Linked DNA regions of Nothobranchius furzeri. The protein of the gene in region 4 interacts with the protein of the main gene of each other region in a pairwise test. Links are inferred from orthologs where the notes say so. Each region holds a gene or a part of one and is shown on either strand. Other genes may lie near its edges. The genes, in order: dpysl2b, myt1la, trim2a and tnika.

Region 1 (3,655 bases), on a different chromosome or scaffold from region 4:
TTGCCACATCTTCAAATAAACCTTTATTGTCCTGCAGGTGGAGGCGGAGGCTGTTAACCGTGCCGTGACTGTGGCCAATCAGACGAACTGCCCGCTCTACGTCACCAAGGTGATGAGTAAGAGTGCTGCTGATGTCATCGCCCAGGCGAGGAAGAAGGGTGAGGAGCCAAAACTGATACTTTGAAAAACAATCAGTTGAACAAGGAGCTGAAAGCGTTGGCAAATGTCGACTAGAAGGTGCACGTTTTCATGAGTCTACATTTCTAGTTTGTGGATTTTGAGCCGTAGAAGGTTGTCACATGTTTGCCTGGGTTCCAACCTTCAACGATGGTTGTAAGAGTTAGATCCCGACTGAAAGGCGGCTCCTCCTCATCAAAAGGAGCTAATGGAGGCGGTTTGAGCCTCCTGGTTGCCTCCCTCTGGAGGTTTTCTGGTTATTTTCTACTGGAGGTGGAGAGGGTCACTGAGGAGAACGATATCTGTCCTCCCCACCTGAACCTGTAACCTCCACACCCTATCTGTGGATAAGTGGAAAACCACTAATGAGTGGGAGACAGCTGGAATGCCCTGAGAAAACCTGTGCATCTGCATTTTTTTGTTGCAGAAAGACATTTACAGGTGTCTTTACTTAGTCCTATTATTTGTTCCTCTGAACATTTCAAATCTTAATATTTTATAGTATCTAATGTTCTGTTGGACTTTCAGGTACCGTGGTCTACGGAGAGCCCACCACTGCTAGCCTGGGAACAGACGGGTCCCACTACTGGAGCAAGAACTGGGCCAAGGCTGCAGCCTATGTCACCTCCCCTCCCCTCAGCCCTGACCCGACCACACCGGACTATCTCAACTCGCTGCTGTCCTGGTAAAGCTTTGATCCAAACCCTCATGTTAGGAAAACTTTGTCTGAGAGAAAACACTCAAAACAAAGTCCTCTCCACCATCTTTACAGTGGTGACCTGCAGGTGACAGGAAGTGCACACTGTCCCTTTAACACAGCTCAGCGCGCCGTGGGGAAAGACGACTTCACCTTGATCCCTGAGGGGGTCAACGGCACCGAGGAGAGGATGTCCATCATCTGGGACAAGTCTGTGGTACATGTTCACACAGACCGTAAGATAAGTCCAATTATCTGATTCAAGGTCAGCGATCCCAACACACAGTTCTGATTTACTCCAGGTGACGGGTAAGATGGATGAAAACCAGTTTGTGGCTGTGACCAGCACCAACGCCGCCAAGATCTTCAACCTGTACCCCCGCAAGGGGCGCATCGCCGTGGGGTCCGATGCAGATCTGGTGCTGTGGGACCCAGACGTCACCAAGATCATCTCCGCCAAGAGCCACAACTCGGTACAGCCTCCTGTGACTCGAGTGTTAGGCTTAGAGGAGACTCTTGCACAGGGCGTTGGTCTCACACAGCATCCAGGGAGTGATGTCATTCATAAAATCTGCCAGAGCTCAAACACATCATTGTCTGATTGTTAGCAGACCAATCGCTGTGTCTGTGTTCGCTCTGGGAATGTGTTCACTTAGTCCTGTTCTTTGGTTTCTTCTCATTTCATGGAGGAAATTGCTCGCTGCCAGTGTGTGTGTGTGTGTGTGTGTGTGTGTGTGTGTGTGTGTGTGTGTGTGTGTGTGTGTGTGTGTGTGTGTGTGTGTGTGTGTGAGTGAGAGAGGGAGAGAGGGAGAGAGTTATGGGATAGCCTTGTCTGCTGGTGATCTCATGTTGGGCTGTGGAGTTTGCCAGATTGCCATGACCTCAGCTTTAACTCCAGTAGCTTTTAGAAAGAGCAATTATAAGGCCTCCAAAAACACCCAAACCCCTCTGAAGACTAATCTTCTTCATCCTCTTCATCTGTTAGCATTTGGCCAAAGGGAACACTGTAAAATACATCAGCTCTGTACAATTTTTACACTTGTTTCTGCTGCTTTTTCTACATGTTTCAGTCCAACAATGTTCCACTGCTGTTTGGCAGATAATGCATGAGGGAGAGATTCATAAATCTTATTTGGGGGGTGGGGGGGGTGGAGAATGTGCATGGCCTTACATCATCCTGATGATAGAGGAAAATCTGTCTGGAGGATGTGAATCACCAGATCTCTGCTTTGAAGTTGTTTCTGTTCTGATCTGTTATGGTTTCGAGCATGCTGACTCTGAGGAGGCAGTAATAAAACATCACAGGAGTACGTCTGCCAGACAGGAACTTTAATTCTAAAAATCAGCATTGAAAAACCATTTTTACACTGGTGTTGGTTTGGTTAGGGCAGCACTGTAACATCACCGCTCTTGTTCTGCCCTCAGACTGTGGAGTACAACATCTTTGAGGGCTTGGAGGTGCGCGGCGGTCCCCTGGTGGTCATCAGCCAGGGGAAGATCGTCTTGGAGGAAGGAAACCTCCACGTCACCGAGGGTTCGGGTCGGTTTGTGGCCCGCAAACCTTTCCCTGACTACGTCTACAAGAGGATAAAAGCTCGCAGCAGGGTGCAGTAACTAGTTTCCTCTGCTTTGATGCTCTCTCTTCAGATTGCTACTGCTGAATGTCAAAGTGTGTTAAACTGGATTCAGGCGGTTGGACTTTTAGACTTAAAAACGCCACAACTTACATTTTAAAATTGGTTTGACTTTAAATCGTCTCACAAAACAGCTTCTAACAGGCTGTATAAAACTTAAAGTGACAGTTGAAATCCCACCTGTTTTAGGTTAGGATTGGTTTTCAGCTAACAGCTGGTCTGAACACAGCTAATACAAAGTGGATTACTGTCACCCTAGAACAACTCCACTCGTGGTTTTTCTGGCAAAAATATTCAGGGTTTCTAGCTTAGCAGCTTTGTTGCAACACTCACTGAGTTTATTTGACCTGTGTAAATCACACGTGAAACTCTAAATGGTGGAAAAGTCCATTTATTTCAGTAATTCACCTTAGACTGAGAAACCATCTAAAGGCTCAGGAACCCTTTAATGTGTTCTGGATTCATTAGTTGATTAGAGTGTGACACTTTGAGTCTACTGAACTTTTTCACAATATTGTAATTGTCTAATATTCAGAATGTGGGGTTTTCACCAGCTGTAAGCCATGATCACCACAATTATAACAAATAAAGACTTGGAATATCAGGATTTGCATAGAATGAGTGATATGTTAATTTCACTTTTTAAGTTGGATTATTGACATAAAAGAACTTTTGCACCATATTCTAATTTTTTGAGTTTCACCTGTATGCCAATGTCTTTTCGAGTCGGGTTTGCAGGTCCCAAGTCCTGATAAAGTTTAATTAAAATTGTGACACACAAAATAAACGAAGGAAAAAAAAATTAGGAGAAACATTTCCTTTTGTAGTTCTTAACTTACTTAGCAATTTGTACTCACGTTTTGTGTCTCCTATGACATTATTCCATTATTGTATACTACAGCATCCATTACCATTAGATACACAACGAATAATGCAAATTAGTTTATGGTGTCATTTACTGACTTCTAGTCACTTTTAGGATAGAAAGTAGCAACGTTCTTTACTGAGACATTAGCAGCACTAATAGCCTGTTATGCTAGTCATGTCAGATGTCCTTCTGTTAGCTGTTGCTTTACAAAAATTACATTTAAACCTTTGTCAGAAACCTGCCTAATGAACTAATTTAGTATATATATATATATATATC
Region 2 (5,566 bases), on a different chromosome or scaffold from region 4:
CGGGTTGGAAGTAGGAAACTTATGGGGTGTGGTCTGAAATCAACATACTGACAGAAGAAAGAAAGAAAACAATCTTTTATATAGTGTCACATGACAGAGAATTAAAAGTATCATAAAAATGAGAAAAATAAAAAATTGCGATTAAAAATATGTGAGGAAAGAGAAAGTGAAATATGAAGAAGCAACCAGTGGATCCCGGGAAAGGTGGAATAAGAGCAGAACCAGGAGAGGGAGGTGAGGAAGGTCCCACCAAACCCGGGGGAGAGAGATCCAGAGTCTGGGGGCCACAGCAGCAGATAATCTGTCACCTTTGACCTATAGCCTGGTACTGCACAACCAGTGAAAGGAAGAGGCAACAAGAGAACTGACATGAGAATCCAGGGTGAGAGCTGGGTCAAAGGTCACGCCAAGATTCCTGACGAAAGGTTTGGTGTGAGAAGCAAGCTGACCAAGAGAGTCTCTGACTTTGAGAACCAGCTTGTCTGGGGCACAGATGAGGATCTCAGTCTTATCTTCATCCAGCTGTAGAAAGCTCCCAGCCATCCAGTTTTTGATAGAGTCTAAGCAGGTGTGTAACAGCTGCAGCTTAGACATCTCATGGGGCTTAAAGGAGATGTACAGTACAGGCAGGACAATAGGAGTTTCTGATGAGGTCATTGTTATTTCCTATAAGATCACCAAGGTCATAAGTCCTTGGCACCGCCCTCTATGTAGCTCCCTACTTGTGTCGTCGGTGCTGTTGGTCCCAACAACGCCCACGTGTCTCAAGGTGCGGGGTTTGGTTACGGCAGCTGCTCCACTCTGAAGAATTTGGTCTTTCTACTTGGAGTCAACAACAAACATGTGCAGGTGTGTTTTTCTAAAGGCAACAAACACTGAATGGTGACGGCCGAACTGGCCCCAAATTCACGCCACAGAGACGATAATCCAGTCGGAAAACTGTTAAATGGGAGGTTTTTTTCTCAGGTGTTCAATTAAAACAGGAATGGGGAACCCTGGCCCTCGAGGGCCGGTATCCTGCATGTCTCTGCTCATCAAGCTCTGCAGAAGCTTGTTAGTCACCTGCTGATTGAAATCAGGTGTGATGATGCAGGGTTGAAACTAAAATATGCTGGATAGTGGCCCTCGATGGACCAGGGTTCCCCACCCCTGAACTAAAAGGACCAATCAGCTGACTCGGAGAACTGCATTCTCATCAGTGATCCAGTCAGACTGCAGGTTGGAGTCGTGTAGTTGTACCTGCTCGTAACTTTGCTGTGGCTCCGCCTCAATCTGCTGCTGGTCTTCAAACTGAAGATAGTTCAAACAAACAACCCCTCAGAGGCCATGACCTACAGAGACAAGAGGAGAACACATACACACACACACACACACACACACACACACACACACACACACACGCACACACACACACACACACTCTCTCACTAAGATCCACTGGTCTTCAACTTTATTACAAATATAAACTATCAGCTAACTTAGTGATGCTTCCAGGCTGAGGCTCCACCAAGCATGCTCAATTTTTCCTGCAGGATTCCTGCTAAAGATCTAAACAAGGCTCCAACCCTTTCGCCAAGGCAGGGGCGGAAATGGAGGGATGGACAAAGAAGCAGAAGAAATTCATCAGCACAACAAAACCCAGAATCCAGCTGGCCTGTTGAGCCTGATCTGAAACATTTCTCTGGAAAAGCATGAAAAGTTTATTCTGAGCAAACCAACACTGTAATCTGTCAAAGTCGTGTGGAAACTCCTGAGTTTCACATAGTAGACTGAATCATCAGCAAACAAGTGACCTGAGCAACACAGGAGCAGGTAAAGGCCCTAAAGATGGTCCACGAGGAATGTAAGGAAAGGTTTTTCAGTTTGACGTGGCTCGCCATGGTAACAGCAGCATCAGGCCGTTTCTCAGTACCAGACACGTGTGTTCTTGGCAGGGAAACCAGAAAGTCCGTTCTACTGAGGACGGGAGAATGAGGACGCACTCCGCTCTGTCCTGGCAACAAGCGCTGCCTGTTGCTATGGTTACAAAATGACCTGACACAACAATTAAAGTTCACTTTGTCCCTTAAATAACAATGAATGCATATTTATATAATGCTTGGTCTATTTTCATCAAGCATCCAGCATTTCCTGTTAAATGAAGAAAAAAAGATTCTTTTTCCTCAAAAAAGAGCAGTGCTGCTTTTATTTTGATAGGGTTTTAGCTAATTAGCTATTTGAGGGATTGTGAAGTGTGAAAATAAGTTACGCACAGCAAATTTTACGGCTTACACACAGTAACAGACAACTTGGATTGTTTTATATGTTTCTGTTGTAAGAAACTACAGTTATAGGGTTTCTGCTCTGGTGTTTGGAGTACAACAGCTTGTGAGGCAATGCATTATGGGATATTTTGCTGTTGGATGCATCGATGCATCCTGGATACCATGGGTGGAGCAAGAACAAATCCCAAAACTTTGAGTGAATTTGCTGTGATGCGTACTTGGGCCATCGTTGATGGCGTTTCACAAGGACGTCGGTACACAAGGTCAGATGAGTACGCATATTGAGAAACAGCTTCAATGTCTCATTAGGGTTTCCATGGTAACATCCGTGGCTCATCAAGGTCACCACGGTAAACACCAGTTGCTCCTGAGGGTCACCATGGTAACCACCCACATGTCCCATAGACAATTAGAAGTCAAATAAAATTGTTATTAAATATTTTTGACACTTCAAATGATAGTTAGACTGTCAGCTGAACATCATGAAGATGTTTCCTCCTGACATCATCAGGTCTAAACCAGCTGTGAGGGTTCTGCTTCACCAGATCCCTGTTGTCTCCACATACACAGCTATGGAACCCTAACCAGAAACTTACCTGATAAATCATCCAATCACATTACAGAATCAGGACTCGCTGCAGAGCTTCACAACAACAAATAACAGGGTCAAAGACTCGGACAGAGCAGCTGACAGCCTGCGTAGGTCCAAATAAACCAGAGAGAAAGTTCCCTCCATTTCACACGGACCTGGGACCAGAACCAGGACGACTGCAGCTGCAAACAGCTGGAGAACGATGGAGATGGGTGGTGGAGAAGGTGATGGAGGAGAGACGGGTGAAGAAGAAGGATGTTGGTACGAAAGCGGAAGATGACACAAAAAGAAGAAGCGTACCGAAATGTCAAAAGATGGAGCCTCCTTTTCCTCCCTCCTCCAAAAGTGTAAGCCTCCGATATTCAAGGTCTCCTTTCTGTTCCGTCTTTGTGATGAGTGGCCATGGCTTCAGCGATGGAGAGGAGGTGGAGGAGGAGGAGGGGGAGAGAGGGCTGTGTGATGAAGATGCTCCAGATGCAAATGAAGAAGAAGGAAATGGTTTTACCTCTCTGTATGTTCCTTCTTCTCCTGGCTTTTCTATTTTCACAAGGACGTGCACGTCGACTCGTCCACGCGTCTAACGGAGACGCAGCAGGAGGCGCAGCCCCCCCTCCGCATGAACTCAGCACGTTCTCTCCCTCTCTCTTTGTGTGCAGCGACGAGCAGCCGCTCAGTGCTGGAATAAAACCTGTCTCATTGTTCAGATGTGAATGGAAACACGGGCATCTGCTCCACCTGCTTCGTCACCAGCAGCCGGTTCATCAGCCGTCATCTGACTCATTTTAAACCTGATTTTAGTTCAGACGTGCTGCAGTTGCAAATCCTTCAGCACCATCAAAAGCTTCCTGTTGACCTGTTGGTGGACGAGAAGGAGGTCCCTCCCCCAGGTTAGGGTTATATTATGGGCCTTTTCCACCAACCAAACTGGCATGGAATGAGAAGGATCGGGTCGCTAAATATTTTGTTTCGATTGTTGAACCAGTGCAGGAACCCTACCCCGACCGGGCCAGTAGCGGGCCAGAGCGGGACACTACCCCTGATTGCCTCCCGGAGATCAGGGCAGGGCTAAATGTGGGTGGGGTCAAACATTTAGAGGTGGGCGGAGACAACTATTTGACTCCTGCCCCTCTCTCAATGGTCAAGTGGGCCGTCATTTGTGAGCCGCGGTCAACCCAGCCACATCTTATCCGCCACATAAATTTCCTTGCGCTTCTACACCAGTCTTTACGGTACCACATTTTAAAAAAATTCATTAAAAATCATCAAGAGTAGTTGATGTCCAACTTTCAACACATCCTTCCTCTGGGACACCTACTGTACCTGTGTGCCAGATTTCAGACAGATGTACTGTAGAAATCCTCAGATATTAAAGCAAACTTGTAATTAATGTAATACAGTCAATACAATAATGTCATTTTAAAAAATTCATAAAAAATCATCCTTAATAGCTGATGTCCAACTTTCACCACATCCCTACAGATTTACTGTAGAAATCCTCAGATATTAAAGCAAACTTGTAATTAATGCAATACAGTCAATACAATTATGTCATTTTAAAAAATTCTTAAAAAATCATCCTTAATAGCTGATGTCCAACTTTCACCACATCCCTACTCTGGGACACCTATTGTACCTGTGTGCCAGATTTCAGACATATTTACTGTAGAAATCCTCAGATATTAAAGCAAACTTGTATTTAATGCAATACAGTCAATACAATTATGTCATTTTCAAAAATTCATACAAAATCATCCTTAATAGTTGATGTTAGAGCCCTGCACGGGCCTAAAATCTGAGCCCGTGTCCGGCCCGGCCTGAGGGGGTGGAGCCCCAGCCCGACCCGGCCCGAAAAGGTTTTCAGGATTCTCTGGCCCGACCCGAGCCCGACTTTTTTTTAACCAACTAAATGAAAACAAAGTGCATCAATCCTGACCAATGTGTTAAAAGACCTGCAGGATCCGATCAATTTGTTTTTCCCTCATTTACCATCACGGAGATGACGGCGCACTGGCTCTGGTGGTAATCAAGTTAAATTTTATCTCTTTCCAACAATTTTCACAAGAACACAAAACAGTCTAAAGCAGGGCTTGTGTTGACCGGATAGTTCCCGTATTTGACGGTTTATTTTGACGGAGAAAGAATAGAAAGAATTACCCCGACGCATGCAGACGAACTGACATTTTATTCATTACGCACATTGCAGATGTAGCTAAAAGATTCCCATCTGAACATCTGAGCTGCTCAGCGCAGCTTGCTGTCAGCGCATATGTGCACAACGAGCTGAAGTTGTGGAGATTGGCTTGGAGCACATCGCAGAACCAGAACGCATGCGTGAAGGTTCCTCCCACTGAAGCGAGGGTTTTCCAAACCCCGTCTCTCAGAGAGACTTGTCACTTAGAAAATGTTCCCTGATTATGAAACTTTGGCTGAATAGTGCTTGTTCCTGTTTCCAATTTGGCAACGCATTCATGAGCCGTCTGAGGAGAAGCCCAGAATCTGACATCTTCAGCTCAGAAAGCGCCGATATGATTACGCGCAAGCGTGACGCGTCAACCCGGTCTCACAGTAAGACCGGGTTGGACCTGTTCAGGTTTACGCAGACAGTCTTTACATAGAATTGACTTACAGATATAAAATTAATTCAGTAAAATATAAAGCATTTTATTTAAATATCCATTCATTATTTTACAAGCACAGAGAGCCGCATCAG
Region 3 (5,518 bases), on a different chromosome or scaffold from region 4:
TACCTGGCGCTGCAGTCTGCCTCCAGCGCATTTCCTGCATGTTTTAGATCATGAACACAGCGGATTTGCTTGATTTTGTGATGACTCACTCCTGTAGACACTAATGAAGGCTGAGAAGATAATTCAGCTGTTAGATTAAGGTGTTAAAAAGACGAACACACAGCGAGGAGACAAGTTTTACTTTGATTTTTACAAACAGACACTAGGGGGTGCTAAAAGCAAGCCAAAACTGCTTTGTATCCCTTTAAATCCTCCTGAGGAACCAGAGACCGGGGCCCATCTGTGTTTATTTAAATAATAAACATCTAAAATGTGCAGTAGACTGCAATGGGGCACAACATTTTCACTCAGATCATTGAATTAAAAATAGCACATGTTACATTCATGTTCTTTGGAATAGTAGTGTGTTGCCATCCAGTGTTGCATTCTTGAATTACATGTATACAGAACTGCATTTCTAGTTTGCAGGGTTGTTATTTTATGGAGTTTATTTAATATTGATCAAAGTCAGGTTGTATCCATCACTGAAGAATTTAGTTGCTACTATTAGCTTTTGAGAAATTTTGCACCACTTAACTCATCGTGTCTGAGATGCCACAGCTCCAATCTGAAAAATGCTTGAAACAGTTCATGCACACATATTAGAAGCATTTACACCATCATGAATCTTATTAAGTGGTAATTTCAGCAGAAAATAGCTTTGTATCTAGCTACATTTCACAACAATTCTCCTGGAATTACCATGAAATCTTAAATCTCTGTAATGTGAAAGTTATATGAACTTTTCTAGAAAAGAATTGAGAACTGAACTGAAACCCCAATGAATTCAACTAAAGTAGTGTTTTAAAAAACAAGATGTTAATTTCTGGCAGATTGACATTTTTGGATAATCTACATCCATGCCTACTGGGCTTTTTTCATCCTCAGACTGTCAACTAAATCCGTTTACAAATCCATCCCTGAGCTCAGACAGTCAGAGATGCTCTCAGCTGGACGACACCCAGCATTAATTAAGCTTTACCACATCACATGTCACCATGGAAGAACTCCAGCAGAGCTCACCGATGATAACCCGCTGATCCTGAGAGGTCAAACAGCAGCATCAATACCCCACAGGCAATGGAAAGACTCATCATTTATCAGTCAGAGTGATCAGATGGTGATGGGAAGCCTACTGCTAAGTATTGATTATGTTCGGATGCAGGGAAGGTGGTCAGAAAACTCTTGTGCAGGATTTTTAATTATTTAAATAATACCTTTCAGTTTATTAAAAAAAATCAAAAATAACAAATCCTTGCCGTGTGTCGAACACACACCAAAGCTTAACCAGTGGGAGTTATGCACTGAGGTACATGGAATGAGTTGATTTTGTCATAAAATATTAAAAAAACAATATAAATGCAAGTATAGAAAGGCAGCGGGTTACTCAGTGCATTTAAAATATGAAAAGTAAAGCATTGTGTTCACACAAAACTAACTGACTGTGATATAATCAAAAAACTGCAGAATTCATCCGGAGAAGGGAGCATGTTGCATCTCTCCAGAGCACTGAGTCATCTCAGCAGCTGCTACACTTCCTGATCAGCACAGAACGCCTCCCACATGTTCACCGCTGCTGCAGCAGCACAGGGATGCAGCCACTACTGCATCAGTCTCAGCAGCACTCACTGAGCTGCACTAAAACATCACATTAACTAAATAAAGAAGCTGCCTTCATAAATCATGGAATTCTAAAGAACAAGTTCACTCATTTTTCCCAACACATTTTCAGTGGTCTCTAGGATAAATTAATGCCTTGTTAGTCAATGTGGGGTAAAAAAAAACTCTGGCGATCCTGTTTCAGGAAGCAGAAGTTAGCCAGAGAAGGTGGGAGCAGAGGATGGCAGGATTTGGAGTCTTATTCCGTACATCTCACATCTGATTGGCTAACAGCAACACGACTCTACCACTAACTGTTTGCTTTGTAACGTTGACATATTTTCTCTACAAATAACACAAGCCTGAAGGAGTTCTGCCATGTGGTGGAATTGCTAATGCAAACAGTTAGCTTCTAATAGCCAAGACGTTCTCTGCTGTTTCCTGGATGCTAAACCAACAACAGCCTTCCCTGTTGTGAGTCAAAATGGGTAAGTCCATGAATGTTAAGTGACAGTGGGATGCATATCTGTCAAACCTTTCAAACCCTAGAGATTCATCCTCTAGTTTCTATCAGAAGTTAATGCAGCAGATAGGTGTAGGAGACTGTTTTCATGTTCAGCTTGCACGAAAAACTCAGATTGACCAAATTTAATCAGAAATAATAAAAAAGGTCTTTCAGTGTATCACATCTTTAATGCAAACAGCTAATCAGCCAATCACACAAGAACAAGCTCAATGCATTCATGCGGACATGATGAAAACCTGCTGAAGTTCTAACTTGCTATCAGCATTAAGAAGAAACAAAACTGAAGCGACTCTGCATGGTTGGTGCCCACACTGGTCTGAGTATGTCATAGCTTTCTGTTCTGCTGAGATTCTCTCCCACAACCATCTACAGGGTCTATAAGAGCCTGACTGATGTCAGAGGTCAGAGGAGAACAGCCGGACAGGTTCACGGCGATTGACAAAGAAAAAGAGCTCAAATAGCGATTGAATATTGCCATGGTCTACAGAAAAGCATCTCGGAACCACAGCATGATGAACATGGAGCAGACTCCAGCAGCAGAAGATCTCTGCTAAGAACAGGAACCTGAGGCTACAATTCGCACAGGATCACCAGAGCTGGACCAGAAGAGACTAGAAGATGTGTCCTGGTTTGACGAGTCTGGATTTCAGCTGCAACATTCAGATGGGTGGGTCAGAATTTGGTGTCACGAACGTGAAAGCATGGATCCTTCCTGCTTTGTATGAATGCTCCATGCAGCTGCTGGCAGTGTAATGGTGGGAGGGAGATGTTCTGGTTCCACTTTGGACCTAGTCCCGTGTGAGCCCAAGAGCTGACTCAAGTTGTGGCCTCATTGGACCCGTCCTCTGATGGCTACTTCCAGCGGGATAGCAGACACCAGTGACCCCCACAGTCACCAGATCTGAATCCAGTCCAGAACTTGTGGATGTGATTGAATGGAAGACTCACCTCATGGGGGTCCGAGAAATCTGCAGCAGCTGTGTGATGCTGTCATGTCAGAATGGACCAGAACCTCTGATGCAGATTAGTGCATGACACCATAAAACTACAAACTCCTGCAGTGTGGAAAATGCTTCAGCTACAAGACTTTTCTCCCCCTTTAGATAATAAATAAAGCCACATTTTTGCTTGATGACAAAACTCATCATGTAAGAGCAGCTCGTCACAACAAACCACTCTGGATTCAGCTGATTAGATAAGTTTGCATATATGCCATTATCAAATAGTTCTTACTCACCTCAAAGGAGTCTTGTTTGAAATAAAATCTGCAACTACACCAGGAGAAACTCTAAAACTCGGTGACAGTTAGAGGGATTTTCCTGGTTTAGCACTGCTTCATGTCCACCAGCTGACCTGTTAGCTGCTCTGCAGTGACAGCCTCCAGCTGATCTGAGACCAGCCTCCAACCACTTCCCCTTCACTTGTTAAAGGGACCTGCCCACAATAAAGAGCTAGGAGAGCAACGAGCTGGATGTAATCTGGGCTAATCCGGTCTGGGCAGAGAAAAGGCACTCAGACAGGAGAAACCTTATAAATATTACACAAACGTGTAAAAATAGGCTCTGGGTTTATTTATTATTTATAATTTTTATATTATTCAAGAAGAGAAAAAGGCTCAATGTGGTGGGTCTGGCTCTCTGCATAGTTTTTCAATGGGAATAGCTTTAATATCAATTTAAAAAAAAGATCATGTAAATTATTAAATGTTGCCCCAAATTTCAGAAAAGTGTCGTATTTTCAACATGTTTGCAACAAATATTGAAAAATGTTAAAAGTTTGTGTCAAATTGCTGCTGTTATCAGAGCTCTAGTTTGCTTTTGGGAAAACATCAGGACACGTCTCATTTCCTTTCTGGAAGGGGGCGGGACTTAGCGCAGGCATCCACTAGTGGCACTTGTTTTACTTTGGCCTCAACTTTTTCTTTACACAAGCACCATGTGACCATTGCTGATCGCCTTTGTGTAAGTGCTGCCATGCAATGTCTGCATATGACCAATTTCTAGAAAGGATGGATAAAGTTTTATCATGCAGATTAAAGATGAATATCAAAAACGACAGCAGCTGGAGAGGATTCCTTCAAAGGAATCTCCTACCATCTTTATGCAGATGACATCCAACTGTACATCTCCTTTAAGCCCCATGAGATGTCTAAGCTGCAGCTGTTACACACCTGCTTAGACTCTATCAAAGCCTGGATGGCTGGGAGCTTTCTTCAGCTGAATGAAGATAAGACTGAGATCCTCATCTGTGCCCCAGACAAGCTGGTTCCCAAAGTCAGAGACTCTCTTGGTCAGCTTGCTTCTCACACCAAACCTTCCGTCAGAAATCTTGGCGTGACCTTTGACCCAGCTCTCACCCTGGATTCTCATGTCAGTTCTCTTGTTTGCTCTTCCTTCTTCCATCTCAGGAACATTGCTAAGCTGAGTCCCATTCTGTCCCGCTCTGAACTTGAGACAGTTCTCCACACCTTCATCTCCTCACGCTTAGACTACTGTAACTCTCTTTTCACGTGTCTGAGCAGAACCTCCCTGAACCGTCTACAGGTGGTTCAGAATGCCTGTGCTCGGCTTCTGACCAAGTCCTCCAAACACACCCACATCACCCCGCTTCTCCTCCAGCTTCACTGGCTGCCAGTCAACTTCAGGGTTCATTTCAAGATCCTGGTTCTGGTCTATAGGGCCTTACATGGACAAGCACCATCTTACATTGGTGATCTTCTTAGTCCCTACACCCCCAGCAGGTCCCTGAGGTCCAGTGATCAAAGCCTACTGGTTGTGCAGCACCAGGCTAAAGACCAAAGGTGACAGATAATTTGCTGCTGTGGCCCCCAGACTCTGGACCTCTCTCCCCCTGAGCCTGAGATCAGTGGACTCAGTGGTCTCCTTTAAAAAGCAGCTGAAACTCACTTGTTCAAGCTGGTTTTTGTATGACCTTCTTCACCACTCTCTCTTTATTCTGCTCTCCCCACCTATTCCACCTTCCTCAGGATCCACTGATTTCCCTCTTTCCTATCCACTCTCTCTCTTTCTTAACTTTTTTTAATCACAATTGTCTATTTTTTGCTCATTTTAAATATATTTTTAACCAATTTCTAAATTCATTTTATATTTTTACATTTTTTGTTTTTGTGAAGCACCTCATGATTTTTATCTTGAGAGGCGCTATAGAAAAGACATTTTCTTCTTCTTTTCTTCTTCTGGAGAGGATGCTAGAGAAATGATCTAGCCATCAAAAATATCAGCGAAACTGTTTAGGATTCTGGCTTACAACTTATGAAAACCCCACATTCAAAATCTCAGACAGTTAGAATATTGTGAAAAGGTTCAATATTCTAGACTCAAAGTGTCACACTCT
Region 4 (4,768 bases):
CTGGGAGGTGTCGGCAGGTGTAGCGATCTGATGCTGGGACCACAGCAGCATGAGTGTGAGTGAGTACAGCGAGGCAGAGGACGTCTGAATAAAAGCCTCATTTGACTTTTGATTTCACCTGTCAGCAAAGTTCTGACAGTTTGCATTAAAGTGGTACTTTTGCTCAGTATTTAAAAATTATTTAAAAAAGGATTTTTTTGTCCTTTCCTGAAGATTAGTCTTGGAAAAGGGGGTCGTCTTATATTCGGGTCAATAAGGTACTAGCGCATTTTATTTGTCTTTATGAATTTAAGAGTTTTTGACACAAGATTGCTTCCGCACATTTCCTCTGGTCATTAGAGACGTTTGTTCTAAGCACTGCCACATTGGCTTCAGTTTTCAGACATGGAGGTCACGATCAGTTTAAAACTGCTTTAAGCAAAATTTCTCCACAAACTAGCATTACTTTTAAGTTGACTTAGGTTTTTTGCTTTTAGGTAACAGATTACTCATCCTCAAGTGAAGATTCAGAGAGCAGTGCTGAGGATGGCGAGATAGTGGGGCATGACGGCACTGTTGCTGTCAGTGACATTCCTCGGATCATGTACGTTTTCCATTCTTAGTTTCCCTGTTTCCTTGTCAGTTACTGCTTGTCTTTTACATATGGCTTTGTTTGGAATTTGAACCATGCTAGAAGCTTGCCTGTATAGCTTACGAAGAACTAATTTATCAATGATCTTTGTGTGTGTGTGTGTGTGTGTGTGTGTGTGTGTGTGTGTGTGTGTGTGGTTGTATGTGTGTGTGTGTGTGTGTGTGTGTGTGTGTGTGTGTGTGTGTGTGTGTGTGTGTGTGTGTGTGTGTGTGTGTGTGTGTGTGTGTGTGTGTGTTTCAGGCCAGCATCACAGAACAGTGGTGAGGTGTATGGAGGGCTGGCAGAGGACGCTCTGGGAGATGCTTATAATAGCTCCAAGGACGGGACACTGGTGATGAGAGGGGTGATGAACGTGAACACGCTTACACACTCAGCCTCAACCTTACACACACACACACACACACACACACACACACACACACACACTGACAGGCTACATTAATCTCAAGAGAGGCCCAGCTCATGGGTTTGTTTACATTTTGCTAAATCTCATATGATGCCTTGTCTTTCAGGTTGAGGAGAGGAGGAGAGGGAGTCTCACTGAAAGTAATGGCTTTGGAAATCACAGTAACCATGGTAACCTCCCTGACCTGGTCCAGCAGAGCAACTCCCCCACAGCCACACCCACTTCTGCTCTGCAGGAATTGAGAAACATGGGGGAGGTCAGATCCTGACACGTCCTGCTTGTGCACATTAACTGTGTTGGCGTCTGCTGAGCAGTTTTATTAACTTCTTTTTGCAGTTTGGTCTTGGTGGGTCCAAAGCATCATTCACCCCATTTGGTGATCCACGGGTTTTCCAAACGTCTCCAGGTGAAATGGATGATGAGAACTCAGCAGCAGGTGGAGTTTTTGAGTTATTTTTCTGCTAAATCAATGATGGGTGATAACATTTGTTAAAGTATGTTCTTTTTTTTTTTCTTCACCTTTCCTTTCTAACCGTAGCCATGTTCGCCAACGAGCTGCTGAGGCAGGAGCAGGCCCAACTAAACGAAGCCAGAAAAATCTCAGTGGTGAACGTTAATCCGACAAACATCAGACCTCACAGTGACACACCAGAGATCCGGAAATACAAGAAACGCTTCAACTCGGAGATCCTATGTGCTGCACTCTGGGGTAAAATGAAAAATCTTCCTCATTCTCATTTTCATTTTTGCATTCTTGTTTTCTTTAATGCGTTTTGTGCTTTTAGGTGTGAACCTGATGGTGGGGACCGAAAACGGTTTAATGCTGCTTGACCGAAGTGGACAGGGAAAAGTTTATAACCTTATAACCAGACGGCGCTTCCTACAGATGGATGTTCTGGAAGGACTTAATGTTTTAGTCACCATATCAGGTAGATAAAACCTCTCTGATTGGATCGTAACACACACTTGTGTTTATTTTAGTTCAAATACATTCCGTGTGTACCTAGATTAATATTTATGTCTCCTCTTTTCTCAGGGAAAAAGAATAAGTTACGAGTGTACTATTTGTCCTGGTTGAGGAACAGAATATTACACAACGACCCAGAAGTTGAAAAGAAACAGGGTTGGGTTACAGTTGGAGAACTGGAGGGCTGTTTGCATTATAAAGTTGGTAAGAAAAACTTCAGCAAAGTAAATAAAATTGTAGGCTTGAATTTTTTATCATTTAACTAAAGGCTGTAAAGATTTTATGATGCTTTTTAAAGATATCTTCACGTTTCAAACAGAAAACCAAGTATTTAGAAATTCCCTCAGAATGTATTTAGGCACTTAAATGTATCATTTGAAGAATTTAGAGGTTTAAAACCTGCTCTTTTTGTGGGCTTTTGTCATGTTTCCAGTTAAATATGAAAGGATAAAATTCCTGGTGATTGCACTTAAGAACGCTGTGGAAATCTATGCGTGGGCACCTAAACCCTACCACAAGTTCATGGCCTTTAAGGTACAAAAACCTCACATATAAACACGTTTTTTATGTCTAGCATCAGAAAATAATGCTTTAAACTGACAGTTTCAAAAGTTTCTTTTAGAAAAACATTTCCACTCTTCTCTGATTTTAGTCATTCGCTGAGCTGCAGCACCGCCCTCAGCTGGTTGACCTCACAGTGGAGGAAGGTCAAAGGTTAAAAGTCATCTATGGCTCCAGTGTGGGCTTCCATGTCATCGATGTGGACTCCGGCAACCCTTACGACATTTATATCCCCTCTCATGTTAGTATTGGTCTTTGCTTTGTAGCTTTAAGACAGTTCCTTGATTAATTGCCATGCAGCTAAAGGACTAACATCAAATTTAACTTTGCACCTGATTTATTTTTATTTTTCTAAATGTTGTGTTTGGATCAACTATGTAGAGCAGAAATACAATGATGTACTCTTGTAACAACGGACAAAGCATACCACGTTGGGCTTTGGATTGTAGAAAGAGCTCATAGGATGAAAGAAATTTAACTTGAAGACCAAGTTCACAGAGAAAAAAAACACATTTTTTGCGTGTAACTTTTGAAATACGATCAGTCACTCTGAGTTTCACATGCAGGCTAAATGTGAAAGGAGTCTTGCTACAAGTACTTTACACCCAGGCTGAATATAAAAATGGTCTTCTACCCCTATTTCCTGCATTAGGCGTCAATAGAAAATAGATGAAGGAATGCTTGGATTTGAAAAGCCTGTCAATTTTAGGTCACATTGTGAAATTTACATTCAGGGTCTCACCCATCTTGGCTTGCGACTTGAAGGGCAGTTGTTGTTATAGCATCCGAGAGAAAGCAGAGCACCTCTTGGCTAGTAGAAGCTAACTGTTGGCAACCATTAGCATTAGCAATGTGACCGAAGTCCTTCAGGCTTGTGTTAGTTGTGGAGATAAAACATCAGTGTTGCCAGTGGCAGAGTCGTGTTGCTGTTGGACAATCAGAAGTGAGATATCTAAAACTCCAAATCCTGCTGTCTGAAGCTCCCCTCTGAGCGCCAGAGCTCTTTTTCCCCACAAAGATTGACTCACAAGGCATTTGTTTTATGTTAGACCACTGAAAATGTGTTTTAAAAAAGTGAACTTGGTCTTTAAAGCAATTCAGTCATTTTCCTGATTTTGTGGAAATATTTCACCAAACAAAGACTGAATGGAGATGTGAGTGTTTAAAGGAATCAAGCATTAAACCCTCTGATCTGGCATGAAAGGTTTTCTGTTTCCTTTAAGTAAAAGGTAACCTGATTTCTAAAAGATTTGTATAAGAAATTTTGGTAACATTTTGGATCTAAATCTTGTTTGGAGAGCTGGACCCTATTACTGTAGCCTGTGCGCTATGGCTATTTATCTAGAAGTACTCTTATGATTGTCTATTATGAATTTTGAGGTTCTAAAATACTCGGGATGTAACGTTGCACGTATTCATACCACGGTGCAGACGTTAGGGATGGGCAGCAACCAGACAAAAAATACATTAGTCACTATTCTCTTCAAGAAAAGAGCACATCATTCTCTATTAAATGCAGTTTGTGAACTGACACAAGAGAAAAGACGTAAAGATCTCTAAAAATCGTTTAAAGCAGTGACTAGTTCAGAGGACACACCTGTGTGGAAAAGTTTTATAGTCCCGATTCCTGGCAGCAAGTGAGACAATGGAAGGTGGAGTTATGAAAAGCCGTTAACATTTTTGTGCACTGCAACTCTTCAGTAACTCATTAATGATAAATTATGTAGGTGTGACTGATGCATGCTGTACCACCCTCAATAAAATTTAAAATATGTTCTGCCACTAGCTTCAATAACCCCATATAATGACTGATCCACCTCTGTGCTTAACAGTTAGAACATTTTCAAAGACTCAAGTATATATATATATATATATATATATATATATATATATAATATCTATCTATCTATCTATCTATCTATCTATCTATCTATATATATATATATATATATATATATATACATACATATATATAATATCTATCTATCTATCTATCTATATATATATATATATATATATATATATATATATATATATATATATATATATATATATATATATATATATATTCATCACTTTTCTATTTTTGTCTGTAAAATTCCACAAATTAAATTGAAAAAGAAAACAACCTGCTGGTGAGAATGTTACAAAGTTGCCTTTTGGAAAGCCTTTAATCGTGCTTAAAAGAGCACCCACACCATTC

What was found.
Region 1: the proteins of tnika (region 4) and dpysl2b interact in a two-hybrid assay, tested with the Homo sapiens proteins (2 studies listed by BioGRID and IntAct). The link is inferred for Nothobranchius furzeri from reciprocal best matches to the Homo sapiens genes TNIK and DPYSL2.
Region 2: the proteins of tnika (region 4) and myt1la interact in a two-hybrid assay, tested with the Homo sapiens proteins (2 studies listed by IntAct). The link is inferred for Nothobranchius furzeri from reciprocal best matches to the Homo sapiens genes TNIK and MYT1L.
Region 3: the proteins of tnika (region 4) and trim2a interact in a two-hybrid assay, tested with the Homo sapiens proteins (2 studies listed by BioGRID and IntAct). The link is inferred for Nothobranchius furzeri from reciprocal best matches to the Homo sapiens genes TNIK and TRIM2.

Annotation. Positions count from the first base shown.
Region 1 is NC_091746.1:40,588,579-40,592,233, forward strand, and holds part of dpysl2b (dihydropyrimidinase-related protein 2b), read left to right. Parts: intron 1-37; coding exon 38-158; intron 159-705; coding exon 706-862; intron 863-949; coding exon 950-1,091; intron 1,092-1,176; coding exon 1,177-1,347; intron 1,348-2,299; coding exon 2,300-2,479; intron 2,480-3,655.
Region 2 is NC_091742.1:17,091,753-17,097,318, reverse strand, and holds the start of myt1la (myelin transcription factor 1-like, a), read right to left. Parts: upstream 3,496-5,566; 5' UTR 3,362-3,495; intron 3,277-3,361; exon of another isoform or gene 3,157-3,276; intron 1,332-3,156; 5' UTR 1,240-1,331; intron 1-1,239. UniProt on the Homo sapiens protein: Transcription factor that plays a key role in neuronal differentiation by specifically repressing expression of non-neuronal genes during neuron differentiation.
Region 3 is NC_091744.1:16,885,398-16,890,915, forward strand, and holds the start of trim2a (tripartite motif-containing protein 2), read right to left. Parts: upstream 3,537-5,518; 5' UTR 3,402-3,536; intron 1-3,401. UniProt on the Homo sapiens protein: UBE2D1-dependent E3 ubiquitin-protein ligase that mediates the ubiquitination of NEFL and of phosphorylated BCL2L11. Plays a neuroprotective function. May play a role in neuronal rapid ischemic tolerance.
Region 4 is NC_091758.1:22,722,261-22,727,028, forward strand, and holds part of tnika (TRAF2 and NCK interacting kinase a), read left to right. Parts: intron 1-476; coding exon 477-583; intron 584-871; coding exon 872-974; intron 975-1,143; coding exon 1,144-1,293; intron 1,294-1,373; coding exon 1,374-1,473; intron 1,474-1,575; coding exon 1,576-1,746; intron 1,747-1,822; coding exon 1,823-1,966; intron 1,967-2,073; coding exon 2,074-2,208; intron 2,209-2,437; coding exon 2,438-2,538; intron 2,539-2,656; coding exon 2,657-2,806; intron 2,807-4,768. UniProt on the Homo sapiens protein: Serine/threonine kinase that acts as an essential activator of the Wnt signaling pathway. Recruited to promoters of Wnt target genes and required to activate their expression. May act by phosphorylating TCF4/TCF7L2.